Linked DNA regions of Oreochromis niloticus. The protein of the gene in region 2 purifies or fractionates together with the protein of the main gene of each other region. This does not show direct contact. Links are inferred from orthologs where the notes say so. Each region holds a gene or a part of one and is shown on either strand. Other genes may lie near its edges.

Evidence for each region. The genes of interacting proteins can lie anywhere in the genome.
Region 1: the proteins of tnip2 (region 2) and tnfaip3 purify together in Homo sapiens (affinity purification with western blotting; 5 studies listed by BioGRID and IntAct, with this or other methods). This does not show direct contact. The link is inferred for Oreochromis niloticus from reciprocal best matches to the Homo sapiens genes TNIP2 and TNFAIP3.

What each region holds. Positions count from the first base shown.
Region 1 is NC_031978.2:11,429,139-11,436,612, reverse strand, and holds the start of tnfaip3 (tumor necrosis factor alpha-induced protein 3), read right to left. Parts: upstream 3,014-7,474; 5' UTR 2,754-3,013; intron 2,661-2,753; exon of another isoform or gene 2,454-2,660; intron 1,191-2,453; 5' UTR 1,092-1,190; coding exon 785-1,091; intron 1-784. UniProt on the Homo sapiens protein: Ubiquitin-editing enzyme that contains both ubiquitin ligase and deubiquitinase activities.
Region 2 is NC_031971.2:13,974,849-13,982,075, forward strand, and holds tnip2 (TNFAIP3-interacting protein 2), read right to left. Parts: upstream 3,050-7,227; 5' UTR 2,690-3,049; coding exon 2,369-2,689; intron 2,113-2,368; coding exon 1,810-2,112; intron 1,679-1,809; coding exon 1,589-1,678; intron 1,407-1,588; coding exon 1,143-1,406; intron 1,028-1,142; coding exon 911-1,027; intron 785-910; coding exon 485-784; 3' UTR 327-484; downstream 1-326. UniProt on the Homo sapiens protein: Inhibits NF-kappa-B activation by blocking the interaction of RIPK1 with its downstream effector NEMO/IKBKG.

The DNA.
Region 1 (7,474 bases), on a different chromosome or scaffold from region 2:
GGTAAAACGGTGTGTTTTTTTTAACATCCACTGACATTCACTAACACACACCTACACAGAAAAAGAGGGGGCATACCCCAAATGCAGTAAATGAAAAACTGTGGAAATAGTTGGGTCTGAAACATCACAGACAGTAAATAACAGTCCTGCATGTGACGCCAGAGAATTTCCCAGTACACAACTATGATCAGAAGTAATCAGGCCCGAGTTTACATGTTTGCCTGCCCTGGGATGTTCCCGTCTTACAACATTCACGTAACAGAAAACATGACTTAGCACTGGGGTGCCTAAAGTCAAACACTAAGGTCGACACAGTAAAACCAAGGGGGCTGCTAAATGAGTCTATGTGAAAGCGGAACTCGCGTCCCTCGATTGTTGTCATTTACAGTAACCCTGCCTGTGAGTAATGACATCTCAGAATTTGCATATCAAATAGCCCTGACTCATAAGAGCTCACCATCTCTCTCATAGAAAATGAAACAAAAGCAAAACACATCCTGTGTTGAGCGCAATAAGTTTTGCTTCTAAAATCAAGGAGAAATGGTTCAGCATTAGCTCTGTGGCCAATCTGCTGAATTGTTCTATTTGTGTTGAATGTCACCTACTGCTCCAACAGCAGTTATTTACGGTGCCCTCTGCTACACAACCAATAATATAAAACATCCTTGAACGTCAACAAAGCTTCGTGGAGCTTCATCCACTTATAAGACCACCACAGAAATCTGGTTTACTGTAGCCTCCATATTCCAGTACAGCTCCTCAACATCAGCATAATCGTTCTTACCATTGGTGCGTAAGGGCACCATCTTCTTCAGCTCCCCACACCAGTTGAGCTTCTTCTCCTTCTCTAATGAGGCCTGCATGGCTCGGTCCAGGATGGCGGCCTGAACCACCTCCCTGAAGGCCTGGGGGAAGTGGTTCATGGCGATCATCTCCAGCGTGTACCGGTGCATACCCCGCAGGTGGTGCATGAGGCCACCGCTGGCAGCAGGCTTCACCACATCGTTAGGCACTCGCTGTCGGATCTTCACTGCCTTGAGCAGGTTGGAGACAAACAGGAATTTGGGGAGGAAGTTCTGACCCTGCGACATGGCGGATGGCTGGCCAGGTGAATGGAAGGAAGGGAGGAAGAGGAGCAAGGAGGAGAGGAGGAGGAGGCACCAACCACCGATGCCGGATCAACGTGGAAACTGGATGGAGAGAAGCGGAGAGGACATGTTATTTCACAGCAGGGATTTGTGGGAAATTTTCAGTGGAGAGTCCCCTTCCTTACAAATTAAGACTTAAGGCACAACTTAATTTACAGTTTGTTTGGGAAACTACCCATCACAAAGGATGATTCCAGTGTGGAGGCTGTATGGTGCTTTTTCCTGGAGATTCTGCTGGGCCCAACTGAATAAAGTACACAAAGACCCCTTTGTATTCTTGTTTGTTCTTTTAATTCTCCTTTTTGTCTTGATGGTTTTTGAGAGTTTCCCTCAACAGGGCTTCCTAGTGTCCCACTGAGCTCAAAGACTTCCAACAATAAATGGGTGCTTTCCAGACCTTAACTGAAGGCCACCCAGGGCTTCCCAGGCTGATGGGAAGGTCACAAGGCCTCCTCCCTCAACAGCCTGCTTAAAGTCTCCGTTTAAAAGGCTGGGAATCATTAGAAAAATTATAGGCTTTCAGTACAGACACAAACACTGTTCTCAGTACAGGAGGAAGATAATCTAACGTGGGTTTACGTCACTCCCTGAAGTCATTTAAAACAAAAGCAGCTGCAGAATTATTTCCCCTAAATAAAATACAACTTTAATTCAGCTACGTTCCCCAAATTGTTATAGTAATTTGAAAGCTAGGAAAATTAGGGAAACTTTTGGCAGTTTTTATACTTTAAGTATAAAGGTACTGAGGTTCAATGCACAACCTCTATACCCAATACTCTATTTGAGTCAAGTTTGCTAAAGGGAAGGTTTTAAAGGACTACTTCCCCTCACATTTCAACACAGTGAAGACGCATTAGCAGTTTAGAGGAAGTAGAAAGTAATGGTCAGCAAGTGGGCCTGGAGTTTTGCTGACTTTTAAACTTCCCACAACATCCTTCTATCAACCTCTCGCAAGCTGCCAGTCAGGTCGGAAGATGCTGTTCGAGTCCACAAACACCTGAACAGCGAGCTTCTAGTGGCCTCTGTGCCTTTACTACCCAAACAGCAGCAGGTGCAACAACAGACTAGGCCGTGCTAAAGGGCTAGTCAGTCACATGAGGGACCAGACAACAGACACCTGGATGTCAGGGAGCATGTTGACACGAATCATTAGCGTGGCGTGCTGTCACAGCGGGGCACACTTTAAGGCAGACAGACAGCAGCACCCGGGTGGACGCTGCGGTTTAGGATGGCTGGCTACACAAAAACACAATAACAGGAGACTTTGCTGACGTTAAAGGCTTACGTAATTCCAATGACAACTACCTTTGGAACAATGTAGCGTTCAATCGCGTCTAACAGCGCGGGTATCGATACAGTGTAGCCTCGCCGATGCCACATTTGGCTGTTTAAATGTCCTGCTATCCGCTCGAGGGTGACGTCTTTGTAAACAATGGCTGTCAAAGCCACTGTCGTGAGCAGGCTTCAAGCTTCCTCCGTGTCCCCAGAAACACGACCATACATTACTCAAGGCCCAAACGTGGTCTTACCCACCAAGTCTCACCCAATTGCTAAGAAATGTGTGTCCACATGGGGAGGCACAAGGAGGGAAGGCTGGCGTCTTACCTGTGTAATATGTCGGGGTAATAACAAAGCCTCCCGGATGCTCAGGCTAGTCCTCTCTCAGCCACTTCACTCAGCCTCACCGCAGCGGTCCTCGGCGCCATTCAACCTTCTCTTTCTTTCAGTATCAGATCTATTTTGGAGCCCTCGCAGCCTGCGAAGCCTTTCAAAAGAATACACACGTACGATAATGATAGTTTTTTTAAAACAAGGAAAAAGTCCAAGTCAAAGGGGATTTCCACACGGGGACTTTCCGTCCACCCATTTTCCTCTCTCTCTCTCTCTCTCTCACTCACTCACTCACTCACTCACACACACACTCACACACACAACCGCTGTAGTTGCAGCTCACTGCCACCAGGGGAGTCTTTACTATCTGTCTGACTCGATACTGAAAAGCATATCCCACCTACTGAGCACAAAGGAGCGTCACTGAGGGAGGGAGGCAGTTCGCGTCATACTCTATTTCATGAGACAGCCTTAAAAAAATAAATCATTAACCTTCAGTATCAGCAAATGAGTAAGGAAAACGAATCTCATTACCTGGTTGTAAAATGGATTTGAGTTGCTGACTGCATGCACTGATACGTATGTGTATTCATGGTCTGATGACTAGCTATTGCAGCAATGATGCGATGGTGCTTTAATTGTTAGCAAATCATCTAAATATAATTAAAGACTTTCAGGTTCCTTCGGATTCCTGTCTTGCTCAAAGATATTTAAGAAGCAGATGTGAGCTCTTTGCTAACCCGCTGGTTCATTCACTACATTAGTAAGTTGGCTCAATGTTTATGTAAAGTGAAGTTTTCTTTTATTTTGGCAAAAGTTTCTAGCTCTTCCCACCGAAATCACAAAACAAAAATAGGTTTCCTTTTAAAGGAAGCCTCTTAACCTCCCTCCATATGTCTCCACCTAATGGAAACGTAAACTGACACTTGGTGAAATTGTGCCTCTCATTTTCATGTGAGTTCAATACTAAACATCAACAGATGATCTTTGCTCGAGTGTACCAAGAAAAGTGTGCATCTTCCATCATCCAGCAACCCACCTGACTGTGGCTGTCAAGGCGGCTAAATCATTACAACAGTCAAGTCACAAGTCTTTTGTGCACCTGTGGTTTGTTGTGGTTGACAAGTTTTATTATCTTGTCTGAGCTTCTAGTATGTGGCAGAGCATGCTTAACTGTTTTACTGCGGTCTACCATTCAGAAGCTGCAACGGAAAAGTAGTCAGAGCTTTATGTTTTATTTCCAAGTGTAGCGTTTGCTTAAATTATGCATTATGCTAACACATGCAACTTGCTGGAGTTGCATGTGATAGCATAATGCACGCGAAAAAGAGGTGTGACACATTTAGATGACATAAAGAGACAAATATTTTTAGCCTTTGTGTGATGGGTGTGTTCCAACACAAATAAAGTTTCAGTTTAGCATTTAGCAGGAGGAGGTGAAATACAAAGGTTGGAAAAGCCCGCATGCTTCAGGTTACAAAAGCAAAGTTTTTAGATAGTTTGATTTCCTTAAGTCAATCAAAAACAAAACATAAATTCAAGTTGCAGTACTACTGGGACCAAATAGTTAAAGAGCGACATATTGCTTTGCATCGACTTACTATAAAACACACCGGGGCCAATTTTTTTTTTTTTTTTTTTTATTAAAACATGCATACACCCCCTGATTTCATTTTTGATTAACTTGTCAGTTTAAGTTAAAGTCTTCTTGACTTCTTGCATTTATAAATTAAAGGAAAACTGAAGTTGACTAAGTCATTAGACAGGAAGGAGCGGTAGGATTGTATACGTTTATACTTCTCTCTACTCCTTTTGAAGCATAAAATCAGAATTGCTTATATTCAATTAATATATTTGGGATTTTGTTTTGTTGTGTTTAAAAATATGGATCACACACACAGAGACACAAATATAAAATATACTTTTTTTCACATGCACATTTAAACTGTGTCGCGTATGGCGCTGTCCTGGGCCACTTAAGATTAGAGTAATGTGCCATGACCCAATCTGTGATTCCCACCCCTAATTTTCAGTGTCATAAAATAGATAAATCAGAAAAAATAACCAAGTACAAATAGTATTTTTTGCACGACGTGCAAATACGAGTATTCGGTCCAAATCCCAGCTGTCACGGGCCGAGAAGCAGAGCACAGTTACGACAGAACTGTCGCAAATTAATGTCAGTCTGTAAATTTGTTCTCAGTTAAGTGATAGATAATTTATAATCTCATCTTTTCAGTGCTGAATCAACCATTAGAAAGACCAGAAAGATTTCAAAAGAGGATTAATCCAGCCAGAGTCACAGTAAGTGAAAGTAGCGTTAACAAGAATTTGACATCCTGACAAACATGTTTATTGTTTATTATATAAGGGTATAAGGGCAGGATTCCCGTAAATGTAGAGTAGCCCTGAAGCTGAGGTAAAACTTTATTCTATATTTTTCCACTGTGGACAAATATCCACTTTACCGCTGTGAAAGAAGATAGTTCGTCTTAATCTTGCTGTTGTTATCCTGTGCTGGTCCTCACTTTCTATTTCCTTTCTCCTACCTGTGGAAAGACTCCTACTGCTGTGTTGAGCTGCCCCAACAGTAGAAACTACATTTCAGTTTTCTACCTACTCGGGGAAAGAAACTGTTAAAAAAAACAAACACCTGACAGCATTCACGAGGAATGAGCTCTGTGAATCAGTCTTACCTTTCGAAGTTTCAAGCCGTTGCCCCTGAGGTAATGCTTTGCACGCACCGGCTGTCAAAATGAACATCTATAAAGTCACTTTGACTGACCTCAAAAATGCCTTTGATTGAGTAAGTGGGCACTTAAGAAAAACCCATCTAACTCTGGTCTGTTTTGACTGAATGCTGCTGAGGGGGCTATTGTAGATAAAGCTAAAGATTTCAGTTTCCAAACTTTTTAAAAGTTCCTTACTGAGTCACATGCTGGCTGAGTCATTGGCTGGAAGTCAATAATCAATACTAGCCGGCTGTGGAAGTGGTGAAAGCTAAGCAGCATAGTCATCAGCACATGGAAAACCCCAGAAGGGACAACTGGCCCACTCCGCTGTTTCAAATCACCAGTATGAGCAATCCTCTTTTAGTCACCACCGCCACCACTATTGTCTCATATCAATGCTGAACTTTTCCCTCATTAAATGACCTATATTAGACCAGCAGATGATACTTTAATAAAACCACCTGACCGCTGTACTGCTATTTATGCAGTCCGCATTTCCTCATAACGTCTGGAAGGATTTATGTCTGTCAAGAAAAGGTCAAAGGATTCCACAGTAGTGCATACTTTTATAACATTCTTCTCAAAACTGAATAGTTTTTCAGTTTAGTTACATTTTTTGAGGACATGCTGCACACCATGCAGAGATGGGGCAAGTTTTTGGCTAATAGTTCTTTGGGAATCCCATTGTTGGTGCAAAAATACAATTTTATGTCTGTCAAGCTTTGTTATTGTTAGCATTTTTTTTAAATATATAGAATAGGAACAAATGTGTTTTTGTGACAGGCTGCTAGTAGCAAAGTTCCAGGAGATGCATTTTATAATGGGGTCTTTGTTAAGTTGTCTGTTATGTGTAGACAGAACACTGCTTCATCCCTCTATAGTTGAATAATTCATAGGTCAGTGCTTAAAAAAACAACAACCCCCCCAAATATTCTTTTCTTAAAATAGACAGGTACAAGGACTGGACTGAAAATGAGTGAAAAAAGTAAAAAAACAAAACAACAACAAATCAAAAAACCTTTGAAAGATCTGCAGAAAGTCTGGAGAGCTATTGCTTAAGACTGCTTTTAAAATATTACACACAAGTTTAGCCTTTCCTTGGAAGCAAAATATAAAAATTCAGGGGGACTCAAGATTATTGCACAGTACCATATTTTCATTTATTTTGACACTTTTCTTCGCTACATTTATTGTTAATATTTTCTTTAAATAATTAACATACGAGGGGTCTTTTAAAAACAATTAAAGCAATAAATATAATAATAATTTAGATATGTACAATGCTTTTCAAAAAATCTAAGGACACAAATATTTTGCATTGATAAAATAAAATGATATGAAAGTACTTGCAGTATGCAGTGCAGTAAGCTCTAACCTGATTGGCTACAGCAGTAAAATATTGCTGACAAATAAATGCATCTGCAACAATAACTTACTAAAAAAGTAGATGTCAGATTGACACTTTTAGCCTCTACAAACATGATGGTTACTTACTTTTAATTGAGCAACTTCTTCAATGCAGGACTTTTTTTGTTTTTTTTGCAGAGGTAAAGGTCTTGAATACATCCTACAATGTTGCCATCTTGAAACACAAAAGTTGAACAGCTTTTTGAAACCCATGAACATGCAGACAGAGGGGTCTGCAAAGATTTCATCCTTTCTTCAAATTAAAAAAACATAAAAATGATCCAATTCAAATAAATATTGCTAGTGTGCATTATATTCCTTGGCAGTCTAATGAAACCTTGCATATTAGGGGATTTTGTTGATGCTCTAAAGGAAGCAACAGTTGCTAACATGAAGTAGAAATCTGACTCACTGAGACTTTGATAGTAACCTTTACTTTAAAATGTAGCATCCACTTTTTGATCTTAGCTGGCAGCAAGTCCGTGCTGCTGCTGCACTTACTTGCACTGCATATGCTGCATGCTGTATGTGCTTTATTTTAAAGCTTGAGACATTTGCCAAAACAACAAAAACATG
Region 2 (7,227 bases):
GTTTTAAACTAAATGTCAAAAAAGTGCAACAGGTTTGTAATTTGACACTGAGGTATATTATATTCCATATATATTGCATCAGTAATCCTCTTCCCCACCACAATAATCTCCCGCAATGCCACAGGAGTACTCTTAGAACCTGACATTGGATAAAAACTAAAAAAAAAACTAAAAAAATAAAAACTTTTGGCATATATATATATATATATATATATATATATATATATATATATATATATATATATATATATATATATATATATATATATATATATATATATATATATATGCGCCAATTGTACAGATTTGTTTCTCTATGTACAAAAAAAAAGAAAAAAAGGTAAGTCAGTTGTTTGATTTGTAGTCAAGCTTCTCAGAATTGGAATCTCCACTCGGGGTATTTTCTGCAGTGTAGTGCTGGTCTTCAGTGTTCAGTTACTGTCAGTAAGAAATGACTGTTATTTCCAAATCAGTGTTCTTCCATTTACACTCGGGCACACTCTAAGCAGTGGTTCAGGTACTCTGCAGCTTTTGTGTCGCTGAACGTGGCGAGGCATTGGGGGCACTGCAACTCTGACATGCCTGGGTGTTCGTTCCAGGCAGAGTTTGGGGTTGCTGCTGCAGCTGCAGGCTGTTGGTGCTGCTGCTGCTGCTGCTGCCGCCTCTCAGCAGTGGTCCTCAACAGAGGCTCTGACGTGTCCTTACTTCGCTTTGAGGAGATCCTGTGTCCTATGTGCACGTGACACAAGGGAACCACGTCTCTGCTCTCTCTGCTAGCTCCCTGCTGAAGACAGGGAGGCACGTACACTGTCAGCACAAGCTACACGTACTGGACGGTGGTAACAAGTAAAAGGAAGTCCGTGCTTCTGTCGAGGCACTCGTGCACCTAAGTGCAGGGCTGTTGTCTCACCTGTTTGTGCAGCTGCTGTTTTAGCTGAGAAACCTGCTCCTTCAGGGCATCAATCTGGCCCTGCGCTCGCTCCCTGTCTGCACGCTCTGACTTAAAGTCATCGGTGTAGATAAGAACCTTAGGAAGCAAAAAAGATTTTTTTTTAAAAATTTATCTTTCACATTTAGTTATTTGACACTATAACCGTGCTTAACAGAACTCAGCCAATCACCAGGCATGAAATCGCACCAACCTGTTGCTCAAGTGTCTGAATTTGCTCCTTGTCTTGTCTTCTGATGTCATCTATTTCTCTAGCAAGCCTTGCACACTCCCTCATTTTCTCCTCCAGTAAGCCATTGAGCCTGGAAATCTCCTGATGAAGCAATCCAGTGTTGGTGGAGCCCATCGCAGGCATCAAGCCCTGCCCGGTGCTGTCCTTCAGCCTCTGACATAAACCTCTTATATAGTCCTCCCTGCTGGAGTCATACTTCTGCCACTGAGTATTCAGGCTTTGTACCTAAAAGGAAATTAAAAAAACAAAACGTCACACCTTTGATCATGCACCATGTTTTATATTCCACCACTGGAGTGTTAATATTGTGTGCAAAAGTAATTGAAATCTGTTTCCTTAAGGACATAATTAGATCACATGTCTATTTTTTTTCCTGACTGATTTCAGATAACACTAATGAGACTCACGTATGCCACACGCTGCTTTAGCTGTTGATTCTCCTCCTGAAGCTGACGGATTTGGGCATTAAGACTACCCATCTCAGAGGACTCTGGCATCTGTAAAAGATTAGAAAACAGAGGTTACAACAGGACCCTCCTGAAGTGTTGAAAAAATAATAGCTGTATTATAAAGCTATTTAAAAAGAAATTACAAAAGCAACTGGTGACTTCTAAAAGCATTTACACACCTCTGTATTCTTTTGCGTAAGGGCCACATCTTCCACTTCTCCTCCTCCCCTTTTGTCTTTCTCCAGTCTCGCCATCAGCTCCTGGCACACCTTAACAGTTGCACCGAGCTGCCCGCGCAGCTGGTCGGCCTCCTCGGCCAGGGAGGTACAGAGGACACTTCTGGTGGCCTCGGCCCGCTCCCTCTCCTGCAAGGCTACCCGTAGCCTTTGGATCTCCTGGTCCTTCTCGTGGTCCGGCTGACATCTGATGGTCTCCAGCTCCAGCTCTTTCTCCCTGAGCTGAGTGTTCAGCCTCTGAATCTCCTGAGGAACAATGATGACAGATTAATGGCATGGCATGGCAACAACAGCTTGCAACTGATATGTCAGATATGGTCCATGTTTTGTTCCCTGAACACTTCTCCAGTAGAGACTGTAAAATGAACGCGTCACAGTAGACAGCAGCTTACAGTTCAGAGTAACAAACTGATATAAAAAAAAATCTATATATGGTTATAAATCACTGATTAGAGCTGTAGGGAGAAACATCGACTGTGTACAATCTTCAGCATGTTTTTACCTCAGCTTGTCGGGCTGCCTTCAAGTCCCCTTCGTTCTTCTTCTGTTTTAGTTTGCATATTTCATTGAGTAAACTCTCCACCAAAGAGTTGGACGGACTAATGAGCACAGACTCCTTATCTCCCACCGTCATGTAGAGCCTCTCGTGTCTCCCCAGCCTGGCTTTTAAATCTGCAATAACACCGTCCTTTACACTGATCTGTCTGTTCAGAAGGTCTATTTCCTGCCGCGTCTCATGATACAGAGTATTAAGCACGCTGTAACTCCGCATTTTGTCTCTGAGCACGTCGTTATCCGTGTTGTTTATACTGACGTTATCCATTGCGGGTTTTGTAGACTTTGACAGACGCACCAGTCTCTTAAAAATCCAGCATTTGACGCCTCTGCCTCGAGCCCCGTGTCTTCAGAAAAAGACCAACGTCGTCAACTGTCTGAAATTGGGCTCATCAGAGAATAATATCCCCCGAACCGTCTTCGGGGATTTCCTAGGGAACTTCCCCGCGGAGTTTTTTGAGCTTCGTCAAAAAGGAGCCATGCTTGTGTTCAAAAAGGTTCACTGTAGATATCCACAGGTAGAAAAAAAAACATTTTATAGCGTCTTGGCACAACTTGGTAAACAAAGAAACACATATTTTAAATGTAGCTAAAAGTTTAAGCTACGTCTCTTAAAGGCTGAAAAAAGAGAGACGATTGCTGCATTCAATTACGTCGGAAAATCTACTACTCCTAGTTAGAGCGAACAAAAATTAAGTTATGTAAAAAAAAAAAAAATGTTTACCGGTGTTATTAGTGCCACTATTATTATAAGGATGCATAGCTTTGGTTTAGAAGGGAAAAAAATGGAATGGCTTACGCTTTAGTCAACTTTATTTTCTACAAACCAAATGCTGCTTGCTGTAGGTTTTTCTACAGAAAGTATAAACTATAATATTGAAAGGAATATCAGATTATACTAAATGAAAAACGCTAATTTCCCAGCGGTAGTTTACCGGGTTTTTACACATTCAGTCCCCTAAAAGTCACATTAGGGCATTTACTCGTAGAGTGTCATAACAAATTCCCCATGCGCGCCACTCATTTTTGTCAGGCTTTAATTTTTTCCCACAGCTTTAAATGCACCGCAATGCATTGTCATTCAAAGAATTACGCAGTAAGGACCACACCGGTGCCGTATTAATGGTTGATTTTAGGATGCAGCGGTCTATGACTGAACATTGTCATCCCGTTTTTTGTGTGTGTTTGTTTGGTTTTTGTTCTGATATTTTGGGAAGTGACACAATGTCTCTTACGGTAGCAAATCAAGAATTTACCCAAGCTGTACTGGAAGCAGCTCCAGTTCATGGTGACCTCTTGGTACTGCAAAATGGGAATACTCATGAATAAACGGATCTTTACTTTTCTTATGTATTTCTCTTTTTTAAGTGCTACATAAAAAAAGTGTTCACTACAAAAACGTAATTACAGTTGGATGACAAAGAACACCACTGATTCCAATTTAATTCATTATACTTGTTGTTGCAGTTTGTAGCTGGCTTTATATTTATGCAATTTTGTATAAAATACAGATGTAATACATACTGTAGAATGATGGACTGATGTGCTTTTAGCAATGAATGTGTGCTTTGGATGTATAGTCTTAATACGGGTCCCAAGAACCTAGATATTTATGTGGAGGTAATAAATAAATAAATACAACCAATAGATTACAGTGTGTGTAATCGTTTAGCTGAAACTGTTCCAAGTTTACGTGTGTAACCTTTTTCTCAGACACTTTGAACAAAATGCACAGTAACTAGCATATATAGGTCACACTTACTACATTATCAAAACCGTGCTCCATTTAGGTTCATCGTTGGACTACAAGAAGAGTGTACTAAGCATTATCAGGTCAAAATGAAACTACTGTCTAGACAGTAGGAGTACCGAGTTAAAGACCAAGAGTGTTCATCAGTTGTACTGGCCGGTGGGGAGTCCCAGGTATTTCTGGGTCAATCACACCAAGAGACATGAGCGGTGTGAAGCCGTGATGTCGTTTGATGTCACATGGCAGTCATGTGACACTTGTTACAATAGCAAGAATTGAGGTGTAAAGTGTGTAAAAATTGTAGGAAGGTGGGAAGAAGTGTCAGGGTGGAAACTAACTGATTCCACAAAAGATTCTGTCTATAAAAAAAACGAATGCTGACCTGAATCATTTCAGTTCTCTATGGCCTTCTAAAGTCCTTTTACAGTCTTATCCTAGCAACACCACCCCTTCTTATTGATGATTCACACCTTCATTCATGTGATTGGCAAGTCTCAGAACTCATGTGACAGTAAAATGTCTGGGACTTCCTGAAAGAGTCATCGGTTGACACCTTGTGAACAGGTGGCAAAACACCTTAAACACTATTCATGTTAAGTAGTACAGTAAAATGGAAATATATAAACTTCAGAGTTTCCGCTATGAAAAGAGGCCTTGTTAAGTACTTGTTGCAATGCTGAAACAGTAAGTCCATGGAAAATGAAGCACCAACAGTTATAATAATCATGTAAGTGTTATGCCCCCATAACACTTACATGATAACACTTCAGAGGTCAGTAGTTAAATATATCTGTGGTCTGGTGCCTCTTTCCAAGGTTAGTGCTTAAAGCTTCCTCAAGCCGGGTGCAGCACTGACAAAGATTCATTGTCGTCATGAATATTGTGGCAATTTTGGACTTTCTCTAAACTGTTCTTTTCCAGGGTGGAATGATTGTACAGCATACATTTCAATGACTCAAAAAACACAAATTGAAAGTATAAGTTTGAATTTATTTTGGATTTTCTGTAATCCACACAGGTTAACAATTAGACATATAGGCTCAAATACATACATATACGCCAACTTAAATGTCCCTTAGTAAGTTACACCTCGGTGCTTTGAGCAGCCATCAACAACTTTCTGGCATAATTCTGGCTGGATATTCGACTGCCCTTCTTAGCAGAATTGCCAGAGTTTATCTAAATTGGCAGGTTTCCCGGCACAAACCTGGCTTTTAAGTAAAGTCCACAAATTTTCAATAGAGTTGAAGTCAGGGCTTTGTCAAGACCATTCCAGAAGCTTAATGTTATCCTGCTTTATCCATTCAAAATCCATTTTTGATGTGTGTTTGGGACTGTAGTCCCAAACTTAGACCCAAGTTTCAACCATCTAGCTTTTGATTTGAGGGAAAGATGTAGATTTGGAGATAGTCCTCCTCTTTCTTTATTCCATCCACTTTGTGCAATGTACCAGTACCACTGGCAGCAAAACAGCCACAGAGCACGATGCTACCCCACCATACTTGACAGTTGGTACAGTATTCTTAGATTTGAAAGCCTCACCTTTACTTCTCCAAACCTCCTCTTATCAGTGTGCCCAAATAGCTCAATCTTTGTCTCATCTGGCCATTAAACCTTTCTCCACAAAGTATTTGGCTCGTCCAAGTGGGCAGCTGCAAATTGCACTCGGACTTGAAGGTTCTGATTTTGGAGCAGGGGCTTCTTTCTTGGTTGGCACCCTCTCAGTCCACGGTGATGTAAAACTCCATAAATGCTGGTGTTCCAACTGGTGTTTCCAGTTCATGGCAGGCTTGAGGCTTGGTGGTTCCTGGGTTGTTCTTGAATATCTCAACCAATTTCCTTTCATCTAAGAGTGATAGTAATTTGCAGTTGGGTAGAAATGGCTCCAAGAGACCTTCAAAACTTGCATTGTTACTTCTTAGATCTTCATTGAGTTTCTTGGACTTTCCCATTGTTCTGAGTATTGATCAATCCAATTAGTGCCAACAAACAAATCCTTTCTATGATCTATGCTGGTAAAGAGAAACTGTCAGCGGTTATTAATCATGTATGATCACTAATGAGGTCTTGGCCTAGTCAAGTTAAAATCACTGTAGAACCTTCAGCACCAGTTATTAAAAGATTTAAGTGAGTCCATGTATAATTTTTTGCCTGTAGATTAAAGAAAATCAAAATCAATTCAAACTTGTGCACCCAGTTCTTGTTTTTTAAAAAACCATTAAAGATGCATGCTGTACAATCCTTCCACCTTGAAAAAAGAAAAGTTCAACCAAATCATTAAAAAGTAGGTTTTCGTCATTGGATAGGATGGTTGGCTGTTGCCTGATAACCTAAAACAGAGGTGTTCAGGTTTTGTTGGTCTTATATGACCACTGATGGTCTTCTGCTCAGTGCAGGAAAGCTGTGTATTTGCAGTGGATTACCATAATCCACGATCATAATAAAAATATATAGTATATTTTATTTTTGTTACAGCATCCGATGAACTTCCAAGAGTGTGCTTCAACATTTATCAGTTGCTATTTAAAGATGAAGTGAGTCTTTTTCTGTTGTGACCTTTAGCATTGGCCCACTTTTGGTAGGTCACTTGTGGCTGCTGCTCACTAGGCGAATGAAATAACTTTCTGTGGTATCGACCACGCTATTTGTGATCGTGTGTGGGTGTGGGTCTCCATTTGTACTTGGACATTTGTGTGTTTACTTTGCTTTGTGAACCCTTTTGCGGTTTAGGACCACGCTTTATGTGACAGTTTGCGCTGTGGTGGCAACAGATTCCTATTGCCTACTGCTATGTTTGTTTGATGTGTGATAGTAACTTGGTTTGTGGCTTTTATGTTGACCTTTTCATGGGTCTTGGGTTATTATTTTCTGTGTTCAGTATAGACCTTTGGTGAAGTATCATGTGCTGGGGCTTTTCCTGTGTCGGCTCAGGAATTTGTTAGGTCACCTGTTGCTTCATTTGGTGATTGGAAAAATTTGGAAAGAACACTTATTTTCCAGTTTCCCCTTCCCTTTTTCTCTTTTAGATCTCTGAGATCAAGGGCTAGACCACACTG